Arabidopsis thaliana: one gene and its partners. The protein of the gene in region 1 binds, or shares a complex with, the protein of each later gene. Each region holds a gene or a part of one and is shown in the gene's direction. Other genes may lie near its edges.

What was found.
Region 2: PSRP3/2 (region 1) and rps15 share a complex: the UniProt entries of both Arabidopsis thaliana proteins name them as parts of the 30S ribosomal subunit.
Region 3: PSRP3/2 (region 1) and AT3G13120 share a complex: the UniProt entries of both Arabidopsis thaliana proteins name them as parts of the 30S ribosomal subunit.

The regions. Positions count from the first base shown.
Region 1 is NC_003076.8:5,137,860-5,149,238, forward strand, and holds PSRP3/2 (Ribosomal protein PSRP-3/Ycf65), read left to right. Parts: upstream 1-5,130; 5' UTR 5,131-5,240; coding exon 5,241-5,507; intron 5,508-5,761; coding exon 5,762-6,046; 3' UTR 6,047-6,233; coding exon of another isoform or gene 6,234-6,683; 3' UTR 6,684-6,747; downstream 6,748-11,379. Other genes in the region: AT5G15750 (Alpha-L RNA-binding motif/Ribosomal protein S4 family protein), read left to right, coding at 3,590-3,723, 3,845-3,952, 4,432-4,506, 4,611-4,842; GNA1 (glucose-6-phosphate acetyltransferase 1), read right to left, coding at 6,234-6,683; AT5G15780 (Pollen Ole e 1 allergen and extensin family protein), read right to left, coding at 7,039-8,048, 8,243-8,438. UniProt on the Arabidopsis thaliana protein: Component of the chloroplast ribosome (chloro-ribosome), a dedicated translation machinery responsible for the synthesis of chloroplast genome-encoded proteins, including proteins of the transcription and translation machinery and components of the photosynthetic apparatus.
Region 2 is NC_000932.1:121,623-126,971, reverse strand, and holds rps15 (ribosomal protein S15), read left to right. Parts: upstream 1-3,409; coding exon 3,410-3,676; downstream 3,677-5,349. Other genes in the region: ndhH (NADH dehydrogenase subunit 7), read left to right, coding at 3,780-4,961; ndhA (NADH dehydrogenase subunit 1), read left to right, coding at 4,963-5,349.
Region 3 is NC_003074.8:4,215,516-4,227,767, reverse strand, and holds AT3G13120 (Ribosomal protein S10p/S20e family protein), read left to right. Parts: upstream 1-6,120; 5' UTR 6,121-6,241; coding exon 6,242-6,466; intron 6,467-6,618; coding exon 6,619-6,657; intron 6,658-7,146; coding exon 7,147-7,458; 3' UTR 7,459-7,479; exon of another isoform or gene 7,480-7,495; intron 7,496-7,667; 3' UTR 7,668-8,458; downstream 8,459-12,252. Other genes in the region: AT3G13140 (hydroxyproline-rich glycoprotein family protein), read left to right, coding at 391-411, 501-576, 660-1,114; AT3G13130 (uncharacterized protein), read right to left, coding at 4,155-4,760; SERAT2;2 (serine acetyltransferase 2;2), read left to right, coding at 11,654-12,252.

The DNA.
Region 1 (11,379 bases):
TTTGAATTTTGGTTGACCAAATACATTCAAGCTATTTTTTAAGTTTTATTTTCCAGAGGGATAAATTAATATATTTGGAAGTTAAATAACAGAGTTTCAGTTATATCTAAACCACATTAGCAGGTTGCCCCTAGACTAACTCTGTCATTAAGCAAAACTAATCCACAAGTTAACTTCCAGAAAGTATTTGACAAGAAAATAAAATCAAATTACATATTTAACATACATAAATATGTGTTAACCCAATCATTTTCAAGATTGGTTGAAAAACGAAATTAAATTTTATTTGAGTTAACTAATAAAATAAATTTATCGATAAATGGAAATTAATACGGCAAGATTCATTTTCTGTCGGTTCTTTATAAAAATAAAATTAAAAAATTGTTCAAAAGGGCATATTCTAGACTTGTGGATCGCTCGTTTTGTGACAGCAATGACAAAGAGAGATCCAAATAAATATTGAATATTTGGCAAATAAATAAAATAAAAAAGTAGGCCTACAATATACTATATAATAATTAAATATATATGGATGGACCAACTCTATTTATTGCTCACAGTTGTCATTTGTCAATCTAAAATAAAATATAGAAAAGTATGTGGAAGTGTATTATGTTTATTGATTAAAAAGAATTAAACGATAAAAAGGTCCAAAACATTAGATCAAAACTTAAGCTAGCTTTGTTACCTTGATTTCGACTGAAGTATGGTATAAATCTGGCCCCGAGCCGACTGAACTAACATTTTCAGCATTATGTTATTCGAAATTTCGACAGTATGATAATGAGTATATTTAAAAGAAGCATTATGTATAATTTTGAGAGAAGAAAAGATTGAGCATTTTTTAGTATGTTTTTTTTTTTTAGGGTGAAAATTGGATCTAAGGATATTTATAGGAAACAAATGGATGAATACATAAGAAGGAATTAATATGTTTCGTCATGAACCAAGTAACCAACATAAATAGATACATTTTAAACTTTTTATAAAAGCAGCCATTAATAGAAGATGGTCTTTTAAAATTGGATTTGTTTTATTTGCTTTTCAAATTTTATCACAATTTTGTCTTGTTCATAGTTTTTAAGAAAAATATTAACCACAACTTTGTCTTGTTCATATTTTATTTTACAAAATTGGCTAAAATCACATTCTATTTATTTATGAGTTTTAAAATATAAATTAGATTTTGGTGATATTCAATTTATAATATTTTAATAAATTTTCAGTAGTCTCTCTAGAAATATACAAGTTTTTTTAATGTACCTCTAAATATTTTAAAATCAAGAAAATCAATCTAGATATGGTTCTTTATAAGAAAGTACACAAGCCAACAAACACTCGTAGTCTCGTAGATGTTTTTATCAAGTATATATATATACATTCATTATACTATTTTCAAATCGTTGGTAAATCAACTGATAATTTTTTTTTCCTATCCATTATATATAAAACAAATATAAATATGTCGCCTATTACATCATAAAATTTGAGGAAGTAAAAAAAAAATTGAAATTTCAAACCTATCAACTAAATTTTCTGATTTAACAGATTTAATTTATTTTTATTTTTTTAGTTTAAAAAAACTCATTCATTAAACATGTGAAAGTGACTAACCACGATGTCTAGCTGTAGCGGCAGTTTAATAAAGCTTTAAGCAATGATCTCGCTCGCCGGCCAAGTTTAGAAACAATGAAAGATCAAATTGAATGATTTGTTTTCTTTTGTCATTCGTGAAGACAATTTAAAAAGATACACGTGTAGATGTGAGGTTATGAACAGGTTATTGTTTTAAAACACAGCATTATATCAGCCAATATATATCAATATATAGACGATGTTCGGTCCAAAAATCTAGATCAATCTCCTTCATGTTTGCTATTCGAAAATGATTGTTATTTATATCAAATCGTGCGTGTAACATCGATTGATAAATATTGGAAATTTAAGTAAAGGCCAATTGTCACGTAATGACTTGAAAGCATCTCCAATGTAATTCAGTATTTATTTCTTTTCACTTGACGATAGAAGAATTTGATTAGAGATGAGTTACTTATTGAGCGAATTAATGTACGTTATTTTCTATGACCATATACATTCCACCGACATCGGACATTACACTGCTGTCGGAACTTAATGATTTATTTTTCTAAATACGAATACATTTCTCCAATGGAAAAAATCTAAGAGTTTTAAGATTTTTCTATAACTGTAATTGTCATTTCAACGAAGAGTTTAAGAAGAAAACAGAGAGAAAAGCGTGTAAATATCTGTAGTTTTAATCAAATGGGTCATTTCTATTTCAGTCTATATATTTAATCAAAATTGCAATTCACAAATTTTAATGCTTACGTATTTTAAGTAACATTAAATGAACATCTTCGTCCTAAAAGTTACTTGATATTAATAGAAAGGTAAAGTAACAGAACAAAGCATTAACGATATATTTATATTTCAAAACTTACACACAAGTATTCAGAATTAAGAAAAGAACAAAACAAATAAAGGAGACGTTTCTGCGATTATGTTTTTGCTTGAAATAGAACAAACAAACACGTATTGGTAAAGAAACCAATAACTTTGAAGATAGCTTAAACGCAAAATATATAGTGAAAAAAGGGAAATCAACAATTATTATATATCCCCACGAAACTCGGTGTCGGTGGCTCAATCATCTTAACACTCTAAACTTTTAAGCCCATTCGTGCGCATGCGTGTATGTATATACGTGTGCATTGGATTTGAAATTTTGGTCGTTATCGAGAGTTCTAGTAGATTATGCATTTTGTGTAACAAGTGTAATATAATTGGGACCCTTTATTACTTTCTATAAAACTTAATTCTTTTAACCTATAGATCACCCGTTTGTCAATTATATCAATCAAGGGTCCCTTATTAGCTGCATTTTCCGATCGATAATAGAGAAGATCATCCAATGCTTTACAATCACTTCCATGCGACCTCACATACAATTACTTCCATTGCATAGTATGTAGTAAAACTATATATTTTGCTTCCAATGGATTTGATGCTTGTTTATGCTTAGAACTTCCAAATAATCTTTTTTAACGTAGCGAATTGATTTTGCATTCAAAGCACCCTTAGTAAATCCGTTTCCTAGTCTAGTCCCATAATTAAGGTAAAATCTACATGGGCTTCTCAGGCCCATAATGAGAAGTTTAAAAGGCTCAACTCAACAAGATTTAGTTATGCTAAGGCCTTACAAGTTACAATCAAACAGAGGATAGGGACCGTCGGATTTATCTGACTTCCTCTCCTTCGATTAGGGTTTCTGAATTACTACTCCTCTGCCAATTAGGGTTTAAGCCTCTCCAGCATTTTCTTTCAGCTCAAACCCAAGAACCTCATCGCCGATTATTTCTTCATCCTTACTCTATCCCGCGCCGATTAATCTCTCTCAGGTAAACTACTTCAATTTTACTCATAGACTAATTGTACAGAGATTGATAAATCCTATGTTGTTCCCATTAGAATGTTCAAGGGTTTATGATTATTCAGGATTTCAAATCTGAATTATTGGACAAATAAACCCTAATTTCGTATAATTTGCATATCATCAGTACCGTCCGAGATGAGAAAGCTCAAGTATCACGAGAAGAAGCTTATAAAGAAAGTAAATTTCTTAGAATGGAAAAGAGAAGGTAACCATCGGGAAAACGAGATTACGTATCGATACCACATGGGCTCTCGTGATGATTACAAAAAGTTGGTACCTTTATTTGCTCTTAAAGCTCTGTTCTACTTATTCTTCTTCTTCTGGTTCGAGTGTTTTGTGATGAACAATGGTCTTTTTCTGATTCTTGAGAATGTTTTTTCTTTTGGGCAGGTATTCAGGATTGTGTAGGATGGTGCAGAAACTGACGAATATAATGAAACAAATGGATCCAGCAGATCCTTTTCGTATTCAGATGACTGATATGCTTTTGGAGAAGCTGTGAGTTTTTTAAATATATATACCAGTTTGTTCAAGTATAGAGCTTATTACAAGCAATGGTTCTTTGTTTTCTCTAGATTTAGGTCGTAGAACATGAGACTTGATCATTTTCTGCAGTTTTTTACACCGATCTTATCTTAGAGACCTCCTGTTGTTTTTCTTGTTAACCACTTTTAGAGATAATTAAAATTGGGGGTCCTTATGCTTCTATATAGATTTTAGGACCGTTGGTTTGAAATCCATTAGAGGTTGAATTCATCCTGGTAAAATGTGTGATCTAATGGGTTTCTTTCAGAATCTGTTTCTTGAATAGCTTCTACATAGAGCTAAGTTACTATATAATATAGGCTTATTGTATAGGGAAAAAGAGCCATCCTACTGAAACTTGTTGATTGCGTAGTTCCACTCTGCAATGAGAAAACTTGTTCTCTTAATGGCTGACTGACTTGTGTTTCTTACATGTACGCTTGAAACGGCAGATATAACATGGGTGTTATACCGACTAGGAAAAGCTTGACTCTAACTGAGCGGTTATCAGTTTCATCCTTCTGTAGGTAAGAGTATATGCAAGAGCCTATATAGGCAGTTACTTAAACCCTTGATAGCCAAATGTTCTCATTTCGTTTGCCTCATATCGGTTCTTTTTTTTTATTTGCAGGCGTAGGCTATCTACTGTGCTGGTTCACCTGAAGTTTGCAGAGCACCACAAAGAAGCTGTGACATACATAGAGCAAGGACACGTTCGTGTAGGACCAGAAACAATTACTGATCCAGCTTTCTTAGTAACTCGGAACATGGAAGATTTCATCACTTGGGTTGATTCATCCAAGATTAAACGAAAGGTTCTTGAGTACAATGACACATTGGATGATTATGACATGCTTGCTTAGCTTTGAGGAAGTTAAAAAAGACTGATGTTTTGTAAAAGCCAAAAAAGGTTCACTGCTACTACTATTGCAGGGTTTGTTTGGATTTTTGAATATGCAAATGTGCTACTATTCCCTTGTCTTTAATCTTACTTTCGATCTATTTGCAAGAAGAAACTTGAAAACAAATGTCATGAAAATATTGAATCTAACTCATATTATCGTCAAATTGTATAAGTTGGAGCCACAGAAATGGATGAACATAAAATATTAAATCTAATTATTATTTGACACTTCAAATTACAAAACCCGTTTGATTCGATCCGACCCGACCCGACCAGAAAATCGCAAAACCTGTGTTTTTGCTTTCCCCGGTCTCTCAAAATAAAATTGCTCGCTTAGAAGCTTCAAACGCAGCTGAAATGGCGGTTCAAGCAAATCAGAGTGCTTCTTTTGGGTTCAGAACAGCTTCACCTTCTCAGAAGCTCTCTTCGAAACCCATAGCTCATATCTCTCTATCGACGAAGCTCAAACCCTCTTCTCGACCATCGCTTTCGTGCTCTACTTGGAATCAGGGTCAAATTCCGGCGAGACACTCCTGTATCAATCCCGGAATATTCGCATATCCCCCCTCCAATCTTACCTTCTCTCATGAACTACCAGAATCTGAATCTCCGCCACTTGGAAAGGTCAGTCATCGTCAAAAAACTTCTCTTGGAACAAATTGGGGTTATAAGCTTGTTAGACAAAGTTGCAGCCTTTTTTTGTCATTTGAACGAAAATGTGGTAAACCAAATGTATTGTCTCCATCTATTTAATTGTGGTAGAAGAGGCAGTGTGTGCTAGTGTTAAACCTCCCTTATGTTGCTTCATTGTGAAAACTTTTGTGAAAGGAAGTAGAGATGTATGATTCTTCCCTTGTTATCGTCATCTTATATTGCAGAAGAAGATGCGTGTGTTAGTGAAGCCGCTAGAGAAACCAAAGGTGGTACTGAAGTTTGTATGGATGCAAAAGGACATAGGAGTTGCATTAGACCATATGATTCCAGGATTTGGAACAATCCCACTTAGTCCATACTACTTCTGGCCTAGGAAAGATGCTTGGGAAGAGCTCAAAACTTTGTTAGAGAGCAAGCCTTGGATCTCTGAGCTTCATCGTGTCTTCCTCCTTAACCAAGCTACAGACATCATCAATCTTTGGCAATCAAGCGGTGGAGATTTGTCTTGATTTGGATTCACCAGATATATCTGTTTATCATAGGTATCATTAACTTTTCAAAGTCTAAAGCTTTTGTGTTGTTTAGTCTATCATTAGTCCTCTGTGTAATCATCGAAACTCGAAAAAACTTCTATCATTAAAATGGCGAATTCAAAACAAGAAAACAAAAGATCATCATCATCATCATGATGAACGTTTAATCGAAGTACTTAGACATTTGAATCGATTTATTACTCATCCCACATTTCTCATAGAACACTTTGTTCTCCACACTACAATCTAGAATCACCTTATAGCAACCCATTGATTTGCAATGATCCATAAGAAACTCAACAACTTTCTTCCCCAGCTGTTTCCCGCGAAACCTTGAATCCACAACAACGTCTTCAATGTGCCCAGCTTTACCGCAATTCCTCAGAAACTTCTTCTCTATCATCACACTACCCGTAGCAGCGATTTTTCCCGAAGTTTCTTCTTCGATCACGCAGATCACGTGGTCGTCACCATACGATCTGATTTCTTCGAATCGCCGATCGAATTCTTCGTCTGTTACTGATCCGGTGACGGTTAGTTGACCTAGAAGCTCGATGAATCCTTTTCTCTTATCGGAGATCTCCAGTTTTCGGATCTTGAATGTCTCAGCCATAGAATCAGATCGGATAATTTTGAATTTGAGTTTTTTTTTATAAGATCCAGTCACTCACTGGAACTGAATATAATCACCCATAGAAAAACAAATGTGATAATTACGAAAAGGTACTTATTCTTTTAGATAGTTACAAAAAGTTTCCGAATCTCTTAATGAAGTCAAAATGGGCCATTTGTTTTTTAAATTGACTTTTGATGTAACAAAAGCAGCAAGATAAAAACTCCATAGTAAACAATATTTATTGAAATGACAACAAGCCAACAAGTGAAAATGCAGAGGAAAAAAGTAACAATTTAAAGCGGATGATACATATAGATTACATAATTGGAAATGTAAGGAAAGGATTGCTAATTTAGGGTTGATGGTGACTAGAAAAGGAAGGTGAAAGAGGAGGGATTCCCGGGATGAGAGGGGCCGGAGGGATTCCAGGGATAAGAGGGACCGGAGGGATGCCAGGGAGTCCAGGGACCGGAGGGAGCGGAACAGGGAAAGAAGGTGGTGGTGGCGGTAGTGAAGGCGGATTCACGATAGGGACAGGTGGAAGAACCGGAAGAGGTGGAAGAGTCGGAATTGTTGGAATCGGTGGCAGAGTAGGAGTCGGGGGAGTAGGAAGTAACGGAATTGTAGGGAGAGTTGGGGGAGTAGGGATTAGTGGGATTGGAGGGAGACTTGGGGGAGAAGGAATAAGCGGGTTTGGAGGGAGAGTAGGGGTTGGGATAGAAGGAATGAGCGGGTTTGGAGGGATGATAGATGGCGGGTTTAACGGGTTTGGCGGAAAGAAGAAATTGGGTTTTAGTGCTTCGGTTTTCTTGTCTTTCAAGGAATCAGATTTCTTGTTATGCAAGGAAGCTGATTTCTGAGGTCCTGGTGGAAGAAGAGGAGGAACTAGAGGAAGAGGTAAGTCCGGAACAGGTAACTTTGGAACAGGTAAGTTTGGAAGAGGAGGAACGATAGGGAGATTTGGGAGAGGGGAAGGATTAGGAGGATCTTGGAGCGGTGGAGGAAATGAAGGATCCGGTAAAAGAGGCTTGGAACCGCGGAGATTGATAGGTTTTTGGCTACAAATCTCTGGTTGGTTTTCGGGTCTGAAAGTGAAGAACCCTGCAGAGAAAACCCTAGTATTCTCTCCATGATGGTTTGATTTAAGGCGTTTGAGAGAAGAAGAAGTAGCAGACGAAGCTATAGAACAGTAAGGCTGTGAGCTACTTAGCAACTTCACAGAGCATCTCTTGATCTTCTTCACATGTTTGCTCACAGAGAATGGTAGCTTCACTTTGAATTCGCCGCGCTTGTCTGTTTTCACTTCTTGTCTGAAACTCGGTTTCGAGTTCTCGTCAATGCATTCCACTGCAACTAAAGCACCTGCAACAAGATCCACAAAACTTTTCATAATTCTTTCTAAGATTTTAGACCCACAAACAAGAAAAAACCCTATAAGTTTCCAAAACAGAGTGCTCTGTTCTAGAATCCAAAAAACATTATTTTCCAAGTAGTGTTACCAAGAAAACACGAGCAAGACTGCAAGAGGAAAAAAAAACAAAAATCAGAAACCAGACCTGAGATTAAGTGGTTGGGTGATTTCGAGAAGGCGCCGTTAAAACAAGTGTCACAGTAGACAGTTCCTACTACAACTGCAGAAGAACGTGTCTTCTTCATAACATGTTGCTGTCCTTGAGACAAACCTCCATTGATAGAGATTCCTAAGAAAATCATAAGACTAAACCAAAACCATAAGGTCGTTATTCTCTCCATAATTATCGACTCTATCTCTCACTATCGGAGGAAAGAGGGGGTATATATATAGGAGTGTGGTGTGAAGATGAGTGAGCCACGAAAAACGAAGAGATTGTTAAAAGATGAGTGAAGCTTATCTCTTTTTGTTTTGCCATGTTAATAAGAATCATGGGAAAAATACAAAATCGAACTACAAAGCTAGCTACTATAATGTCTTGTGACCCTATCTTTCTACAGCTCAGTAGCTGAATTATTGTAAAAAATAGTAAGAGGTGAGAAAAAAGACAACACTAATATTTTGGATTCACGTTCGCGTGTCGATTAGATTTGATCGAACAGTACACGGTAAAAACACGTTCAAAGTAAAATACCAAACCTGTTATATCATTGTTTCTTGAATTGCGGGGTTGCTAAAACTAAAAAAATTCAGACACATATGATTTTTTTTTTTTTTTCTGAGTTAAAGGTTCCGAAGATGAACATATCTGAGATACTTTTGTGTTGAAAATATCTGTTATCATCATCTTTCCCTTATTTACATTCTGAATTTTGGATGAGACTAAAACATGACATGATGTTTTCATTTCCAAACTGTGAATCACTGTCTGTCATGTTTGATGTTTATAGTATAGTCTACATCCATGTTTTTTTAAAGAATGACATTTACAATCATTATTGTTAGAAGGATATCCTAATTGTCAATATTACATCGAAATATTTATTTTTAGAACATCCGAGAATAGATGATTAGTTACTGTGGTGATGATTTTGATAGTTAACTAATATCAGTAACAGTCTATCATGGACGGATTTACATATTTCTAATCGGTAATCCAAACTAGATGTAAGAAGAGGTTACAGAGATTCATTAATTCGCAATATAATTGTTCTAAGAAACTTATACATTGCTTATTATACATTTGTTTATAGATTTGGAGAAACATATAGCCAGTGAGGCTAAAGTTGATAACTAGACTTAAGTAAGTTATAGTTTCTATTTTCTTTAACAGAGGAAACAATACATGCAATTTAAGAAAGTGAAGGCTTATGGGAATGAGAATGGGGAAGGGAATACAGTTGGAGAGTCTCTGTCGATTCACGAGACACTAAGGATGTCCACACAATCATATATACCCAATTCTTACTTCTGTCTTCTTATAGAGTACTACATACATACTCATTCTTGATAAGGGACAAAAAATTAAATAAAATGAGTTAAAGAATGTGAATGTTTTTTAATGGTATTAAAGACTCTGAATGTTCTTCTCGAATTTTCATATTTTAACTTTTGATTTTTGTGTTTTTTTTTAATCAGGAACGCCGTATGTGCTAAAAAAAATACCATTTCATGAGAATAAACAAATTCTATTAGTCGACGACATAAAAAACAACAAACAAACACTATGGTGGATTATAGATAGACTAGGGAATATTGTAACTTTATAAAAAATATTGAAAAAATATGAAAACATTGTAAACTAAAAATCATTAATTTCTAGATAATATAGGACTAAATAATAAAATGGGCCAAGATCAAATTAACCCAAACTGTAGTTTACAACTTGGTTGTTCCCATTCCTTGATATGGGCTAAGTGACATAAAAAGCCCGACTCTTTATTGTCCACTAACAATTGGTCTTTTAACTTCTTGATGGATTAATTGTGGGTGTAGAAGATTATTTTGACTATATAAAAACAGAAAATTAACTAAATATTTTCGATATATTAAATAACTAGATGATAGATGATTTTTTTTTGCAGTAATTTCATAAATTTAGTTTCATAAATTAGTTTGGTTGAATTCAAATTTAGTAAATTGTCAAATTTGAGACATAGATGATAGAACTAAGATTAGTAATTAGTAGCGCTATATATGACTCAATGGATGTGAACAAGATGATAATTTAAAAAAATGTTTTATAAAATTCTTTTTGTCCAATGAACAATAGGTTAAAACGGACAAATTTACTTTTGTGATTTAATTATTGCCATGCATTTTGGCATATAGTCACTCTGTTTCATAATATAAGCTGTTTAATTTTTGTCATTTAACAATTTTAATACGTGTAACATTTCGTCATGCAATGTTATTTTATGTGTAGATATCTAATTTATTAAATGTACTTTTATTTCAGTTATAAAAGTTATACATAATCTGCGATTATAAAATTTTATATTAATATAATGCGTTAAACATTAAGTATCTGTTTACGATAATACCAAAATAAAAAACAAGGGAAAAATTCCATCCCAAATTTTTGCTTTTGTTACTTTTGAATAGCAAATCTCTAATGTATTATTTTTCTAAAATAAAATCTTCCTATCCTAATGTCATCATCTACAAAATCATTAAAATATGTAATGTCTGATTAACTAAAATAATTTTATCAACTAGTATAAAATAAGAGAATCAACCAAAAAAGTTTGGTTTAAATTGTATAGAGAGAGTCCTCCATTAGCGTCCAGCAACAACGCCCACCCACTTTCACACCAACTTGAACACACTACTCCTCCTCCTTCACTTTTTCCTTCAATCTCTCTTCTCGCTGACGACTTGGAAATAAAGTGAGGGAAAATATTCCTCCAACTTCACTTTCCTGAGAATCTGCAAATAAAGCAATTCAACTTCCTTTTCTTTCTTTCTAAATGAAATTTCGTTCTTTGTCTCAGTCTCTCTCTCTTTCTTCGGTCGAGTCCGATCAAAATTGAAAACCCATTGAGTTCCTCGCCAAAAGGTATAGTCTTCGTTATTTCTTCTGTAATTGGATAATGGGGTTTGATCGATTCTGATTAGTACAATCCCAAAGTGTTGTTCTTTGTTTTCTGGTAAATTTTCTCTGCTTTTTTTGTGTTCTGTTTTAAAACAATTATTCTGAGTTAAGCAAAGCAACTTGTGGTTTTGTTGTGTAATGATATCAAGTGGGTTATTTTTTTTATTATAAGTTTCTCTGTTTTATTG
Region 2 (5,349 bases), on another chromosome or scaffold:
AATTGCAGAAACTTGGGATAGCTTCCTATTTGCTCAAATAATAAGAGGTTCTCTCTTAGTAACTCAATCAATTCTTAGAAAATATATTATATTACCTTTATTGATAATAATTAAAAACAGTGTCCGTATGTTATTATTTCAATTTCCCGAGTGGTCCCAGGATTTAAAGGATTGGAAACGTGAAATGCATGTTAAATGTACTTATAATGGGGTTCAACTATCCGAAACAGAATTTCCAAGAAACTGGTTAACGGATGGTATTCAGATAAAAATCCTATTTCCTTTTTATCTTAAACCTTGGCATAAATCTAAATTTCAAGCATCTCAGAAGGCTCGACTAAAAAAAACAAAAGACAAAGGAGAAAAAAATGATTTTTGTTTCTTAACAGTTTGGGGAATGGAAACCGAACTACCGTTTGGTTCTGCCCAAAGAAAGCCTTCTTTTTTTGAACCTATTTCTAAAGAATTAAAAAAAAGAATCAAAAAATTAAAAAAAAAGTCTTTTGTGGTTTTAAAGATTTTCAAAGAAAGAGCACCCATTTTCCTAAAAGTCGCAAAAGAAACTAAAAACTGGATTCTCAAAAACTTTATTTTTATAAAAGGAATTTCAAAACGAAATCTAATTCCATTATTTGGCCCGAGAGAAATATATGAATTAAATGAACCTAAAAAAGATTCAATAATAAGTAATCAGATGATTCATGAACTATCTGTTCAAAATAAATCCTTGGAGTGGACAAATTCTTCACTTAGCGAAAAAAAAATCAAAAATTTGATTGATAGAAAAAAGACAATCAGAAATCAAATAGAAGAAATTTCAAAAGAAAAACAAAACTTAACTAATAGTTGTACCAAACTGCGTTATGATTCTAAAATAATTGAGTCATCAAAAAAAATTTGGCAGACATTCAAAAGAAAAAATACCCGATTAATTCGTAAATCCATTTTTTTTTTTAAATTTTGCATCGAACAAATGTCTATAGCTATTTTTCTAGGTATCATTAATATTCCAAGAATTACTACACAACTTTTTTTTGAATCAACAAAAAAAATTCTTGATAAATATATTTACAAGAATGAAGAAAATGGAGAAAAAAAAAAAAATACTCTTTATTTTATTTCGACTATAAAAAATTTAATATCCAATAAAAAAAAAATGAGTTATGACCTATGCTCTTTATCACAAGCATATGTATTTTACAAATTATCACAAATTAAAGTTAGTAACTTTTGTAAATTAAAGGCTGTTCTTGAATATAACATATGCATAACATCCTTTTTTGTTAAGAATAAAATAAAGGTTTTTTTTCAAGAACACGGAATCTTTCATTATGAATTGAAAAATAAAACCTTTTTGAATTCCGAAGTAAATCAATGGAAAAACTGGTTACGAAGTCAGTATCAATACAATTTACCCCAGATTTCATGGGCTAGATTAGTAACCCAAAATTGGAAAAATAAAATAAATAAAGATTCTCTAGTTCTAAACCCAAGTTTAACCAAAGAGGATTCATATGAAAAAAAGAAATTTGATAATTATAAAAAACAAAAATTTTTTGAGGCCGACTCATTATTAAATCCAAAACATAATGTAAAAAAAGATTCTATATATAATCTTTTTTGCTATAAATCTATTCATTCTACAGAAAAAAATTTTGACATGTCTATAGGCATTGCCCTAGATAATTGTTTAGTCTCTTCTTTTCTAGAAAAATATAATATTCGGGGTATGGGGGAAATTCGGCATAGAAAATATTTGGATTGGAGAATTCTTAACTTTTGGTTTACAAAAAAAGTAACTATTGAGCCTTGGGTTGATACTAAGAGTAAAAAAAAATATATTAATACTAAAGTTCAGAATTATCAAAAAATTGATAAAATAACGCAGACGGATCTTGCTAATAAAAAAAGAAACTTTTTTGATTGGATGGGAATGAATGAAGAAATACTAAATCAGCGTATAACAAATTTTGAATTTTTTTTCTTTCCGGAATTTTTCTTATTTTCTAGTACATATAAAATGAAACCATGGGTCATACCAATCAAATTACTTCTTTTAAATTTTAATGAAAACATAAATGTTAATAAAAAGATCATTCGAAAGAAAAAAGGTTTTATACCATCAAATGAAAAAGAATCCCTTCGATTTTATAATCTGAATAAAGAAGAAAAAGAATCGGCCGGTCAAGTAGAACTTGAATCAGATAAAGAAACAAAAAGAAATCCCGAAGCAGCTCGATTAAACCAAGAAAAAAATATTGAAGAAAATTTTGCAGAATCAACAATAAAAAAACGTAAAAATAAAAAACAATACAAAAGTAATACAGAAGCGGAACTTGATTTATTTCTGACAAGATATTCGCGTTTTCAATTGCGATGGAATTGTTTTTTTAATCAAAAAATTCTCAATAATGTAAAAGTATACTGTCTCTTGGTTAGACTAAACAATCCAAACGAAATAGCGGTATCTTCTATTGAAAGAGGAGAGATGAGCCTAGACATTCTAATGATTGAGAAAAATTTCACTTTTGCAAAATTAATGAAAAAAGGAATATTGATTATTGAACCTGTGCGTTTGTCTGTACAAAACGATGGACAACTTATTATATATAGAACCATAGGTATTTCATTGGTTCATAAAAATAAACACAAAATAAGTAAAAGATACAAAAAAAAAAGCTATATTAATAAAAAATTTTTTGAAAAATCCATTACAAAATATCAAAACAAAACTGTAAATAAAAAAAAAAATAATTATGATTTCTTTGTCCCTGAAAAAATTCTATCCCCTAAACGACGTAGAGAATTTCGAATTCTAATTTGTTTCAACTTAAAAAAAAAAAATGCTAGGGATACAAATTCAAGATTTGATAAGAATATTCAAAACTTGACCACCGTTTTGCATAAAAAGAAAGATCTTGATCTTGATAAGGATAAAAATAACTTAATTAATTTAAAATCCTTTCTTTGGCCCAATTTTAAATTAGAAGATTTAGCTTGTATGAATCGCTATTGGTTTAATACTACTAACGGAAATCATTTCAGTATGATAAGAATACGCATGTATACGCGATTTCCAATTCCTTAATCATAAATACTTTTTACTATATATAATAAGTTACGGTATATGAAAACAACTATATGCACAAATATGAGGGATTGTTTTAAATTAAATCTTTATACATGAGATTAATTTAATCAATCACATAGATACCAATTATAGCGGATTCATAAATAAATTAACAGAATCCTTCTTTTTGAGATCTAAATTTAGATTTTTTTCTAAAATGAAGAATTAAGAGGTTGATAATTAAATTAAGATCCTTGTACAAAAAAACTACCATTATTATTACTGATCAGTAAAATTAATATCTTTCAATTCATATTAAAAGGGGAAGGATTTCTTTTTATGATAAAAAATATAGTCATTTCATTTGAAGAACAAAAAGAAGAAAGCAGGGGATCCGTTGAATTTCAAGTATTTAGTTTCACTAATAAGATACGAAGACTTACTTCACATTTGGAATTGCACAGAAAAGATTATTTATCTCAGCGGGGTCTACGAAAAATTCTGGGAAAACGTCAACGACTGCTGGCTTATTTGTCAAAAAAAAATAGAGTACGTTATAAAGAATTAATTAATCAGTTGAATATTCGGGAATTAAAAACTCGTTAAATTCAAAAATTGTGAATTAGTGAATTTTTTAGATCTTGAATTTTTTGATAAACTTCTTTATTCAGAAATCTAATTCATGCCAGAACGAATCAAGGAAAAACTTATGAAGAGACCAGTTACAGGAAAAGATCTTATGATAGTCAATATGGGACCTCACCACCCATCCATGCATGGTGTTCTTCGCTTAATTGTTACTCTAGATGGTGAGGATGTTGTTGACTGTGAACCCATATTAGGTTATTTACACAGAGGAATGGAAAAAATTGCAGAAAACCGAGCAATTATACAATATTTACCGTATGTAACGCGATGGGATTATTTAGCTACTATGTTTACAGAAGCAATAACAGTAAATGGACCAGAACAATTGGGAAATATTCAAGTTCCTAAAAGGGCCAGCTATATCAGAGTAATTATGCTGGAATTGAGTCGTATAGCTTCTCATCTGTTATGGCTCGGCCCTTTTATGGCAGATATTGGTGCACAGACTCCCTTTTTCTATATTTTCAGAGAACGAGAATTTGTATATGATCTATTCGAAGCTGCCACCGGTATGAGAATGATGCATAATTTTTTTCGTATTGGAGGAATAGCGGCTGATTTACCTTATGGTTGGATAGATAAATGCTTGGATTTTTGTGATTATTTTTTAACAGAGGTTGTTGAATATCAAAAACTCATTACACGAAATCCTATTTTTTTAGAACGGGTTGAAGGAGTTGGGATTATTGGTGGGGAAGAAGCAATAAATTGGGGTTTATCCGGACCAATGCTACGCGCATCCGGAATACCATGGGATCTTCGTAAAATTGATCGTTATGAGTCTTACGATGAATTTGAATGGGAAATTCAATGGCAAAAACAAGGAGATTCATTAGCTCGTTATTTAGTACGACTTAGCGAAATGACAGAATCCATAAAAATTATTCAACAGGCTCTGGAAGGACTTCCAGGGGGTCCCTATGAGAATTTAGAAAGCAGGGGCTTTGATAGAAAAAGGAATCCAGAATGGAATGATTTTGAATATCGATTCATTAGTAAAAAACCTTCTCCTACTTTTGAATTATCAAAACAAGAACTTTATGTAAGAGTTGAAGCTCCAAAAGGGGAGTTGGGAATTTTTCTCATAGGAGATCAAAGCGGTTTTCCTTGGAGATGGAAAATACGACCACCGGGTTTTATTAATTTGCAAATTCTTCCTGAACTAGTTAAAAGAATGAAATTGGCTGATATTATGACGATACTCGGTAGCATAGATATAATTATGGGAGAAGTTGATCGTTAAAATGATAATTTATGCAACAGCAGTCCAAACTATAAATTCTTTTGTTAAATTGGAATCTTTAAAAGAGGTCTATGGACTCATATGGATATTTGTCCCTATATTTTCTCTTGTATTGGGAATCATAACAGGTGTACTAGTAATTGTGTGGTTAGAAAGAGAAATATCTGCAGGGATACAACAACGTATTGGACCTGAATACGCCGGCCCGTTGGGAATTCTTCAAGCTCTAGCCGATGGGACAAAACTACTTTTCAAAGAAAATCTTCGTCCATCTAGAGGAAATACTCCTTTATTTAGTATTGGACCATCTATAGCAGTTATCTCTATTTTACTAAGTTATTCAGTAATTCCCTTTAGCAATCACCTTGTTTTAGCGGATCTCAATATC
Region 3 (12,252 bases), on another chromosome or scaffold:
TGAATAAAGTTGAAATTTTCATATTGCCAAGATGAATATGCATGTATCCATTCTCATTTCTTCAATCTCTTATTTCCAAGATGCAGAGTATAAGAATGATTTGTTTTCTCATTTTCATCATAATCTCGTAATCTTTAATTAATTAGCAATATACGGTAGGATTCATCACAAGATTATTCAGATATCAAATTATCCATTTCGAACTACGATATATCCTATTAAAACGCCATTTTAGGAAAAGGCAATATTCATCTTCGATCAAATATCAGATACACTTGCCTTAAACTATAACAATAATCAATATGTTTTACCCATTTAACTTGTTTAGCTTTAGCTGTTAGATCAAGCAACCAAACAAAGAACAAAAAGAAGAATTCACAAGCTTCATCAATGGATTACACTGTCGATATGGTTAGCCAAACGATTAATCTGCTTTAGACCATGTATATATGTGTGTTATTTTTTCCTAAATAAGAAATGTTGTTTAATTTACTCTGTAGAGCTGTGTGATGAAAGTGAACAGAGGTTGCCAGCTTTGTCGGCAAAAAGTGTCAGAAGTCATGCATTGTGTCTACGGTACGTGTCTGTCTACGTTTGTGTGTGTTTGTTTTGTTGATGATTCTTGTGGTTGATATTCATATTTCTAATATTACTTGCAGGAGTTTACTCTGTGGATTTCACCGGAGACGACAACTCAATGAAACTCAAGGCCAGAGTTAACCCTAATGTATTGTTGGCTGTTGCTGAACGGTACGGTGAACATGGAAAGATCACTAATCTCCGTTTCGACGGAGAAGTTATGACTCCTCGCGGCGGCGGTGGTTATTACGGTCAATCAGGCTATTACATTCCTACCACCTCCCGTGGTAACTATGCATATCCTTCGTTGTATCAATATCCTCCTCCGCCACATGTTTATGGCGGAAACTATGCTCATCCGCCGTCAAATCCCCCGCGGCACTCGGAGGCACCACGGCAGGCAACTAACCCGCATACAACACCGCCGTATTATAGTCTACCGGCGCCACCACCAAGAACGTTGCATAGTTACTCTTACGTAGAACCGCAGTATCGGATGTCGAGTTCGTCGGGTAGTGGATGCGTGATCATGTAATGTCTCATTGAGGAAGATGAATCTTCTTTTTTTGGTCTCAAAACCGCGTTTTAGGTTTATTCTATTCTTGATCGCTGTTTTTTTATATAGCGATTGCGTTATAGACGCGGATTCTATGTTTTTTTAAGAACCAAGAACACAAATTGTTGATTAATGGACTCCTAGGGCCATTCCAACTTTGTGGAAGTCCTTGACACACATTTTCTCTTTGTATTTGAAGTCATTATTTTAGTAGAATGAGTATAATTTTCACTATGTTCAACCAATCATGTTTTATCTCTTCAACTGGACATCTGTTTTCACATCAATTGGTTTTTGTCGACAAACAATAGCTATGTGCTCATTTTCATTTCAATATTGCTGGTTTATCAATAAAATGACAACAAGAATAAAAGGATATCAACATTGACTTTATGCTTAGCACTTTAACTTTGTTGCTATGGCCATATGAAACAAAAAAAAAATGAAACCGGGGATTAGATCTAAAACCCAAAAATAAAACATTTTGATCGGATATAATGAGCCTTAAGCTTATATACTATTAACACTAGTTCATATTCCAAGGTTTACTGATGAGTGATGAGTGTTGGGTCCATTAACCTCCCCGTACACAAACCACCCACAGGAACCAGTGAACAAATTACTGATTACTTCTTCCTTCAAACTTGACCGCTCATTCTTTCATCATTTTGCCTTTTGTGGTTGCAAAGAGTATAAGTTTTCAGTGTTTGAGCTTCGTAGTTCGTGCCATGGTTTCCTTCCCTTTGACACATACTTGAAAACAATTACATCTATTTACTCTACTGTTCCATATTAACTCAAACTATAGCATCTGAATGCATTATTATCTTTCCCACAAAATACTGTTTTTGTTTTAATATAAAGTCATATAACATCTTACCAAGTTTTTTTCTTTTAGTAAGTTACGAATATTGATATGATTTTTGGCTTTAGAGCTTTGAACATTATTGAGCATATGATTGTTTACATGTATATGTGGTTTAATCAATTTTCCTCTCAACAGGAATTGGACCCACTTAATATTAATTGTTATAGTATTATAGCTTGATTCTTTTGGTTTTGTTTCTTTGTCCATTGATTGAGTTTACTGTTCCTTCTCCATGTCTTTCGGTTCTACTTTATTTTTTAATTTTGGATTTTGGTATGTGTAGACAGCTCCATATGCATGATTGCTCTATACACTACCATTCATCTCTTGTTAGGTATTTACGGCTTTTTTATATCTATCATACGCCGTTTATATCTTAGATGATCGCCAAAACTGAAACCTACTTATGGAATGATACAAACTAAGATGTATAAAGTCGTTAGTTTAGAATACTTACATGCCAAACTTGTTGCAATCAAAGCCTAATATCATTTTATATAACATGAAATAAGCTGACCCATTTATTATCTTATTTTGTTTTGTCATATTTAGTTGTATAAGTAAGTTCATTTTAAATATAAACGGGAGTGGACATGTTCTGCTGTGTCAAAATCGTATAGTCTATCACTATTCGATAGATCTTTCGCTCCTCAATCGTTTTCTTAAACTAGTTAACCAAGAAAATTTACGGGTTTTTGTATTAGTAATTACATATACTCAATAGAGTACCAAATCTTCATTATCCATTCATTTCAACTGTCTCATTCCTGCTTGTTTGATACATGTAACATTCAGTATTAAACTCTTCTTTCTGGTTTTTTTTTTTTTTTTTTTTTTTTTTTGGTGTTTTCACGTTGATCAATTGAATTAGTCAAATCAAATGTTTTCCTTTTAATAAAAACCTCTCGAAAGGACTAGAGAAAAGATAAATCACATTAAATGGAACATGCATGATGCTAGCTAGTGTAGTTGAACCGTTTCAGAAAACAAAACAAAAAGTTGTTCAAAGTGAAAACCCAACTAAGCGATCGACTAGAAGATTCTCAACAAATTTCACAGTAACTTTATTTTTTAATATTCAAATAAAAATGATCTTATGGAGACTAGTGATGATGAATATGTAGGATAGGATAGTGGGGGAACTGATAAAAAAAAAGTATGGAGGTCTAAAACTAAAAGCAGAGAGCAGAGAATCTATATATGGAGTCTTTAAAGCAAACTTATATTACTTTTTAAACATATATTCGATTCTTCGTTCTCGTTGATAAATATTCTACAGGTTGTACATATGGATTGATGGATCATGGGATTAAATATATGTACACAATACATCATTTTGACGTAACTTATAACATTGTTAGAATTTTGTAATGAGTCTGAAAGTTTCTACAGTTATCATCTTAGGGCTTACTAATAGCTATTATATTATTGTTAAGAATACGTAATAACATTGATAAATGCGTATGTACATTTTACTTTTACCAAACCCATGATCAATTTAAAGAAATCTATACGTACTGTTCAAGCTTGGAATCATGGTACCGGATGTTCTGTTGGCCACGGAATCAGCAAAAGTTATCAGATCAAGAAAATTAAACATTTTAAAAATCAACTATAGCCAAGAAATAGAAAAAAATGGCTCAATCCATCACATATCATGTTTACACGAAAGTACATCATCTCCTAAAAGACATATAGAATTAGGAATATCCATCATACGTTTTTCTTTGACATTGAAAATTCATTATATGCAAAGGTATACACGTGTGCATGCACGGACAGCATTATTCCCCCGAAACTATCGGGTGTAGACAACACACCGCTAAAAACATGTAGTACATCAGTCTAGCCTATAGAACTAATAATGGAGTTCGATATGAAATATGTAAACATATAATTTTGTATGTATATGATCATATTGTAGTTTAATCGTATTTGACGAGTTTCATTTTTGCATAATATATACGAGGTAACAATTTTCAAGAAAAAGTGTAACGCGAGAGAATTACTTAGATTTAAAAAGGATTCCATTAAAAGAGATGCTTACAGAGGCTAGGAGGATGTAGAAGAAGCTAGAAAACGTAACTCGCTCTCTATATGAGCAAATTGCGTTTGATTAAACTTAAACAAAACTGATTAATTAGAAAGTACTCAAACAAGGATTAAATGCCGTTTAGCTTCGATTCTAAGCTCTTCCTTCATCTTTCTGATGAACTCGTCGAATTTCTTATTCATCTCCTCCTCCGTCGATGTCATCACTCCTACGTTCCCTTCTTCTTCCTCGTTTATAGATCCGCCACGAAGACCACACTCTTCCTCTCCATCATTATCTGCTAATGTGTTGTCGTCGTCATCTTCTTCTTCGTTGTCCTCGGTTTCTTGATGTTTTGTATCTTCCTCCACTGTAACTTCCTCTGCAAGAAAGGACTCTGTTCCTATTCCATGATCAGATTTATACTCTAGCTCCAGTATCGTAGTGTAACTCTCGAAATCTCCATAATCAAAGGTTTTATCGGTATTACTCCAAATTTTCTCTATTGGTTTGGACGAAGCGACCAAACCAGAACACTTAGCAACAACCACTACGAGACCATTGCAGAGGAGGAACATGTAGTTTTTATCTACTGCGTGTGTTACGAGTTGGATCATGAACCTATATAAATAGAAGTCGTGGCTGGTTAAAAGAGATAAAATCCACATCGAAACTGCTATAAACTTGGTCAATTTCTTCAGAAACTCCGGTTTTATTTGATCCATCTCTCTGGTTTCTTTTCTTTGGTTTTGTGAGTGAATGGTGAGGACTAGAATAAGAAGAAGAAGAAGAAGGAATTAAACAGGTTAAAGTGTAATTGTGCAAAGCGTTACACTACACTCAACGGCTTTGGTATTTATAGAATTTAAGCCAAAGGCAATGGGCATCTGTGGATGATTTTACCAAACCACCCCTTGTTCTGAAGCTGCATGGCTGCATGCCACGTGTGAAGTGTGATTTCCCAGTTATGTGGATAAAAAAAAGTCTCTGTGTTTCTTCTATTGTTTGTTTGTCAACTAATCCATGTTTTCTTATGTCCTATTATTGGTTACATTGCGAAACGACCTCTGGTTAGTGTTCCAAAAGTTCCGAATCTTTTATGACCTCTGATGGAATTCGGATTTTTTTTCTTTTTATATCATCAAGCTATACATGATGACTTAGCTTTTATGGTATGTTAATGGTAAAGGAATATGACTTTTAAGTCATGTATAGCTTGATGATATATATAAAAAAAAATACTCATGATTGAGACAAATACAAACGGAATAGTAAGGGATGATTGGTCTTTGAATAGTGTGAGGGCTTGTGGACAATAATATTTAGAAGATGTCATTGTCTTTTATGTCTTTGATTGGTTTAAGTCATTTTCCTTCTTTAAATTGCATGGATTTGGCGACATCATTATGTTAATTGTTAGGCTTCTTCTACATGTATTTTGCTTTTATTAAAAAAAAATTATACTTGAACTACGCTAACACCTTATATTTCCGTGTGAGATTATGGATCACACATTTGAAGGTATATATTTACAGATTATGGATCACACAATTACAGATAAAATTAAGAACAATGCATTTAAAAGTCAAAAATCAAAACTACGGAATCCTTCCTTGATATTATTGTCTTTTGTATTCAAATTAATATTATTTTATGAGTTTGTATTATTTCATCGAATATTTATATTGTCCATTTTTTTCCACATTCATTGCATATTTTCATGGGGTTTTGTTTGTCAAGTAGTTCATTTTGTCTTCCACTTTTCTTAAATTTTCCATCTACTTCACGAATGTTTGTGTGTTGAATTTTCCAAAAGATATTTATGAGATACAAAAGAATCTTCTAAAGACAGATCACAATCCACAAGAAAGAAAATACCGAAAGACAAATGAATCATATTTTACTAGGTTAGAATATTTTTGGTCCCCAAAAGAACTATAAAATATGGGCCTAATGGGTACTTTTGGTCCCTAACAGAAACTATACAATTTGGGCCTAATGGGTATTCATTTATAATAAGCGTAGGCCTTTTAATGAATTAATGGGCTTAGAATAAATAATATCTCATCATTTAAAAAAGAGAGAAAAAGGTTTTGGATAAAATGGATAACCCTCAAGAAGAAGCTGCTGAAGAAGAAACCTCATCCTTCGAACGTTAAGAGGAAGAAGAATAAGAGAAATCGATTCGTGGTTTTGGGAAAATTCAATGGCGGTTTCTACTGTATCGTCGTTTCTATTGCCATCTTTCGGCATTCCAAGCTCTTCGCCTTCTTCTACCAGACTCAAAGTCTCTCTGCTGCCTTCATCTTCTACCCATGGCGGCCTTAGTTCCTGCGTCCTTACGAAACCATCCGTCTCGCTTACGAAGGTCTTCGCTGTTCCCGATACCCTAGATCCAACTCCAGAAATTCTCGATGAACCCGCCTCTGAGGTACACTCTTTCCTCTGTCAGTCTCGGATTCGATTGTTTGCAGAGCTAATGCGAAATTTGGGGGGGGGGGGGGAAAGACATTGTTTTGCAGAATCATTTAGCACTTTGATGTTAATTCTGTTAATAATAGTCTTTGTGTCTGTGTGATTCAGGTTCCGAGCTCTTCATCCATCAGTGTAGACGCGGATAAGGTATATTCCGTTACTGTTACAGCTCACTTACTAGAATACAGATTTTACGAGTACTTGTGCATTGGTGTGTTCTAAATTCTGTGTCCATCTTCGTCAAAACAGTAGACTTTTTTGCTTTACTACGTTTTCACAGCGCTAAAAAGTATCATATCTGTTCTAACACCAATGCCCATTGCTGTGTTAGAGGTCACTGCTAGAAATTGATACGCAAATTTTCAAATTTGATGTCTTCAATGTCTATCTTTGTCAGATCAATAGACTTCTTTGGTTTACTACGTTTTTTCAGAGCGATAAAGAGTCTCATTTGTGTGAAATGCCTTCAAGTAGATATCATCTTGTATATACAGGAAAGGAGAAGTAATTGTATAGAAATCTTGATCGTCTTTAGATGGTATCTTCATAAGATTTGCCACAATAGAGTTTTGTTTTAAGGGGTCTTGTGGAGTTTCATTGTGTTTGGTTTAATTTGATTTATTTTTGTGTTATCAGATGGCGCCAAAGCAAAAGATTAGGATCAAGCTTAGATCATACTGGGTGCCTCTTATTGAGGACTCATGCAAGCAGATACTTGATGCTGCGAGAAACACCAATGCAAAGACGATGGGTCCTGTTCCATTGCCAACCAAGAAGCGTATCTACTGTGTTCTCAAGTCTCCTCACGTTCACAAGGATGCTAGGTTCCATTTTGAAATCCGGACACACCAGCGCATGATTGATATTCTCTACCCGACTGCTCAAACTATCGATTCTTTGATGCAACTTGATCTTCCTGCTGGTGTCGATGTGGAAGTGAAGCTCTGAAGAAGAAGCGTAACTACAATGGTAACAAACAAAAAAAGTGATCTCTCTTCTTAATGGTTTTTGAATATTGATGTGTCTTAGCTACTGAAACTGCACATAGGCTCCAATATTTATCCTCAAAAACAAAACTTCATCAAATTACAATCTTTCTCTGTTGACCATCAAGATCTTGATGCTTGTTCTTAACCAAAGTGTTTTTTCTTCCTCAGATGTGATGGGCACTTTTGCATTGAATGAACAGACTGTTTCAGATCAACTACATTGCTTAGAACTGGTAAGCCTTGTATCATCTTTTTTGAGAACCTTTGTAACGAAAATGTAAGTTGTATTATCTGGTCCTTGGAATCTATCTTTAGCGATGCTTGGTTCTTAGTTGATGAACATATCCTTAATTAAGCAAGTTCAAAGGAATTTGTTTTTGTTTTACTAATTGTTATGCAGTTTGCCTGTGTCCATTATGATAAGTTTTTTTATTTTTGTTGTATTCAAAGTGGAATCTTTTTTTTGAATATAAGTATTATAGTAGTATTATAGTAGGAATAAGAAGATGCACAACTTGAGTTATTTTAAAACCAGGAGGTTGGAATCTTGAAAGCGACTTCATTATTATAATAAACGTATAAGTTCGTTTATCCACAAACTCAATAGGGAAATTATAATTTTTTGTCACAACACATTTCATTTATCAATTATCCTCTAGACTCAGTTCGTCTCTTTTCTTAGCAGCCAATTAAAACCTGCAAGTGTTGTTTTACCAGTCTTTCCTTTCCAAGCTTACGAAACGATCCAAGGGAAAAAACAGTAATGGTTTCGAATTTATGTCTGATAAGTCGATGGCGCTTTTTCTTATCTAATTTGGAATTTTGGATGATGCAGAAATTGTCAACCCCCCAATATTATAAAGTTGAAGAATATTCTTTTCCATGTTCAATCATACACACAACTATATCATTATTTTAATCATATGAAATGGTTTTTGGTATAGTAAGAAGTGGTTCATTGTAAGATAATGTCTTGACCAAAGAAGAAAGAAAACGAATAGTCGCCAAAATTGAATTTGGTTTAAGTAGATGAGACAATGATGTGGCGGTTTATAATAGTCGTTAAAGTTAAGGCATATTCCCACGATATACCAACATGGACCGTCCATTATTATTTATTTTGATTATAGTTTGTTCTCAAAAACACTCGAATAAATTGCTTTTTTTTTTCACAGCATTACTGAAATCATACATAATTTCTGCTTCCATAATCTTATATTTTACGAGATCGGTTTTATGATAAACTTTCAAGTAGTACCATTATGGGTTGTATTTTCTTTTACTACCATTTTGGGTTTATTGCAATTTGCATAAACATATTCAAAACTATTTTGCGTTCAACCAAATGGTTAAACTCTGGTTCATATTGATATACCAAAACACTCATATTGGATCAAATATGTAAGGTGATAATAACACTGATATGAACTAGTATACTATGTCTTATGAGTCACTATTTTCTCTAACTTTAATAAAAGTTTAGCTGTGATTCATTATTCGTGATTATGGTATCCTCATATCAGAATTGCTTTGTTCTAATTCAGTCTTATTGTTCACTAATCCTGATCGAAAATACATGGCCACATTAGAAGCATCAAACAAACAGGGTTTTATGTTTTCCACACTCGAAGAGACAATATTTTCAACGGCTGAAACTGAAAGGAAACAAAATATAATTTTAAGACAAAAAAAAAAGAAAAGAAAACATATATTTCTTCTTTTGGTTGTAGTATTTTGAGACCTCACTGATTGTCGGAAAATAATTGGAGGGGTTCCCACTGATTTTGAATTTCTGTAATACCAATTGTTTGTTTTATTAGAAAACAACACCTTCAATTTGTATTTTCCCCTTGTTGTTTGGGATGGCAGTTACTTAAATAAAATATTTATCTAAAACCCATCGAAGAAATTGATTCTAAACATAACAAATAGTTATTTTTTTTCACACAATCTCACTTGGATATAGTTTATTAAGTCGCTGGTAGTCAAATATCTTCGTTTTAACATATAAGCTTTTTATTATGTTAATTTTTTGGTTTTCACATCATATGATTATGTTAATTGATAAAGCTATTTAATTGATCAGAAAGAGCGAGAGCCACATGATAAATTCAAGTGACTTTGGCTTGAAAATAGGACGATGGCTTCACGGATCTATAGACTAACTAAGTCATCTGTCATTACATACGTCACGTTTATTTCATTTTATAATTACAAAAACACCAAAGTTAAATCAAATTATTCTTTGTTTTTGTCAACTGATTTGATATTGATAAATTTGTTGAAATTAAGTATATAGTACACACGGGAGTGACTAAAAAAAAAAAAAAAAAAAGAGAAACTAAAGCCGATATGCAATGAATAAATACTCGGAATCAAAAACGGGAGGAACACAAAAAATTATTGGAGTCTAAGCCATATAGAAAAAAAAAAGATATTAAAACCACAAAGCATAAAACTCAAAGCAAAATGAAAAAAAAACATATATTCTTACCTAAAAATATAAGCAACTAGGCATATATAAACCTTACTAAACAACACTAGTTAAGTCAAATTAGTCTTAAATTGATTTATGAAAGGTCTATTATACACGTCTAACAAAAAGGGTTTATATATCTCGAAGGTGGCAATGAAATATATAGTTCTTGTGTTGAACAAAGGTAATGAAATATTTAAAATTAAATTTCACTTGTATGGGATTGCACTTGCTCGTATTCACGTCATAGTGAATTGTGATAATATATTCTTTTTTTTCTTTTCATTGTGATAATTTTATTTTTTAGTCGTTATAGTTTGTTGTTTTGGTATATACAAAAAAGAATGAACAACAAAAAAGTGGGTTGATGGTAACCAAAAAAAAGTAGGTGTCACAAAAAAGAACATGTGATAGATGAGCCTCACTCCCGAAAAGAAGATGTACACAAAAACTCTGACCACAATTTAAAATGATAATAAACATGTGTTTTTTAAAATTCTTTTACCAAACAAGTGCTACTTTATTACGACAGTCGACATATATGTCCTTTTAATTTTTGTTAATTCAATCGCACGAGAATTAAAACAATGATTCGATTTGCTATGCCATTTTTTTTCAAAAATAAATTACACACATTTTTCTAAATTAAATCCCAAAGAAAATATAAACAAATCTTATTATATAAATTATGGTTTTCAAAGTTACTAACTCATACGATTATACCACGTGTCAAGTCTATCGATCAGATGTTGATACGTGTAAGAAAATAATTAACTTTTTTCTTTTAAAAAAAATAGAAATACTAAAAAAGAAATCAATTAACTTTTTTCTTCTTAAAGAATTAGATAACTAAAAAATAAATCATTATTAACATATACTAATTCATATGACTATATCTAAAAAAGATTACATTTTATTTTTCTTAACCAAAAGGATAATTAACAAAAAAAATATATATATGTTATTGGTCAAATTTTTAATATATATGGTATTAACAAAATTTGTATTATTATTAATTATGTTTTGTTAATTGTTAATAATTTTTAATATTAACTAAGATATAGATTTGATCTCATATAAATATTATTTTGACATGAAATTATTATCAAGTAAGATGAAGTGTGTAGAATTAAAATCGAGTTTTTTATGAAATAGATAGTTAAAATGTATTACAAAATTGAATGTGTAAGATAAAAATTTGTTTTTTTATTCTAAATACTAAATTATAATAAAGAAAAAATGTGTATGTTACTATTTAGACTTCAAATATCATCAATAAGATTGAATGAGTATAATAAAATAAAATGCATAAAACTACTATTTTACTATTCAAAATTATATATCAAAACAATATATAAATTATTATTTTACTATTCAAAATTTAAATATTATTGATAAAAAATTATATTTACATCTTACACCTGACCTTATCTAGTTTCTTATATAAGTTGCAATAAAAATACCAACAGATTCATAACTTTTTTTGGCACCCAGTCTCTCCACTCCTAGTGGCCACTAGTGTTCACACACAGTCAAAAAATTTTAATACAAAAAAAATTAGGAATCGAATTCAAAAAGGAAAGAAATCTAAAGAAGAAGACAGAGAGAGAAACAATCTCCAAAATACATAAATTTGTTCACATCCTTCCGTTTTTTGTTTGGCCGAGAAAAAAAAAAAATGTTGCCGGTCACAAGTCGCCGCCACTTCACAATGTCCCTATATATGCTCCGTTCATCTTCTCCACACATCAATCATCACTCTTTCCTTCTTCCTTCTTTTGTTTCCTCCAAATTCAAACACCATACTTTATCTCCTCCTCCTTCTCCTCCTCCTCCTCCTCCTATGGCTGCGTGCATCGACACCTGCCGCACTGGTAAACCCCAGATTTCTCCTCGCGATTCTTCTAAACACCACGACGATGAATCTGGCTTTCGTTACATGAACTACTTCCGTTATCCTGATCGATCTTCCTTCAATGGAACCCAGACCAAAACCCTCCATACTCGTCCTTTGCTTGAAGATCTCGATCGCGACGCTGAAGTCGATGATGTTTGGGCCAAAATCCGAGAAGAGGCTAAATCTGATATCGCCAAAGAACCTATTGTTTCCGCTTATTATCACGCTTCGATTGTTTCTCAGCGTTCGTTGGAAGCTGCGTTGGCGAATACTTTATCTGTTAAACTCAGCAATTTGAATCTTCCAAGCAACACGCTTTTCGATTTGTTCTCTGGTGTTCTTCAAGGAAACCCAGATATTGTTGAATCTGTCAAGCTAGA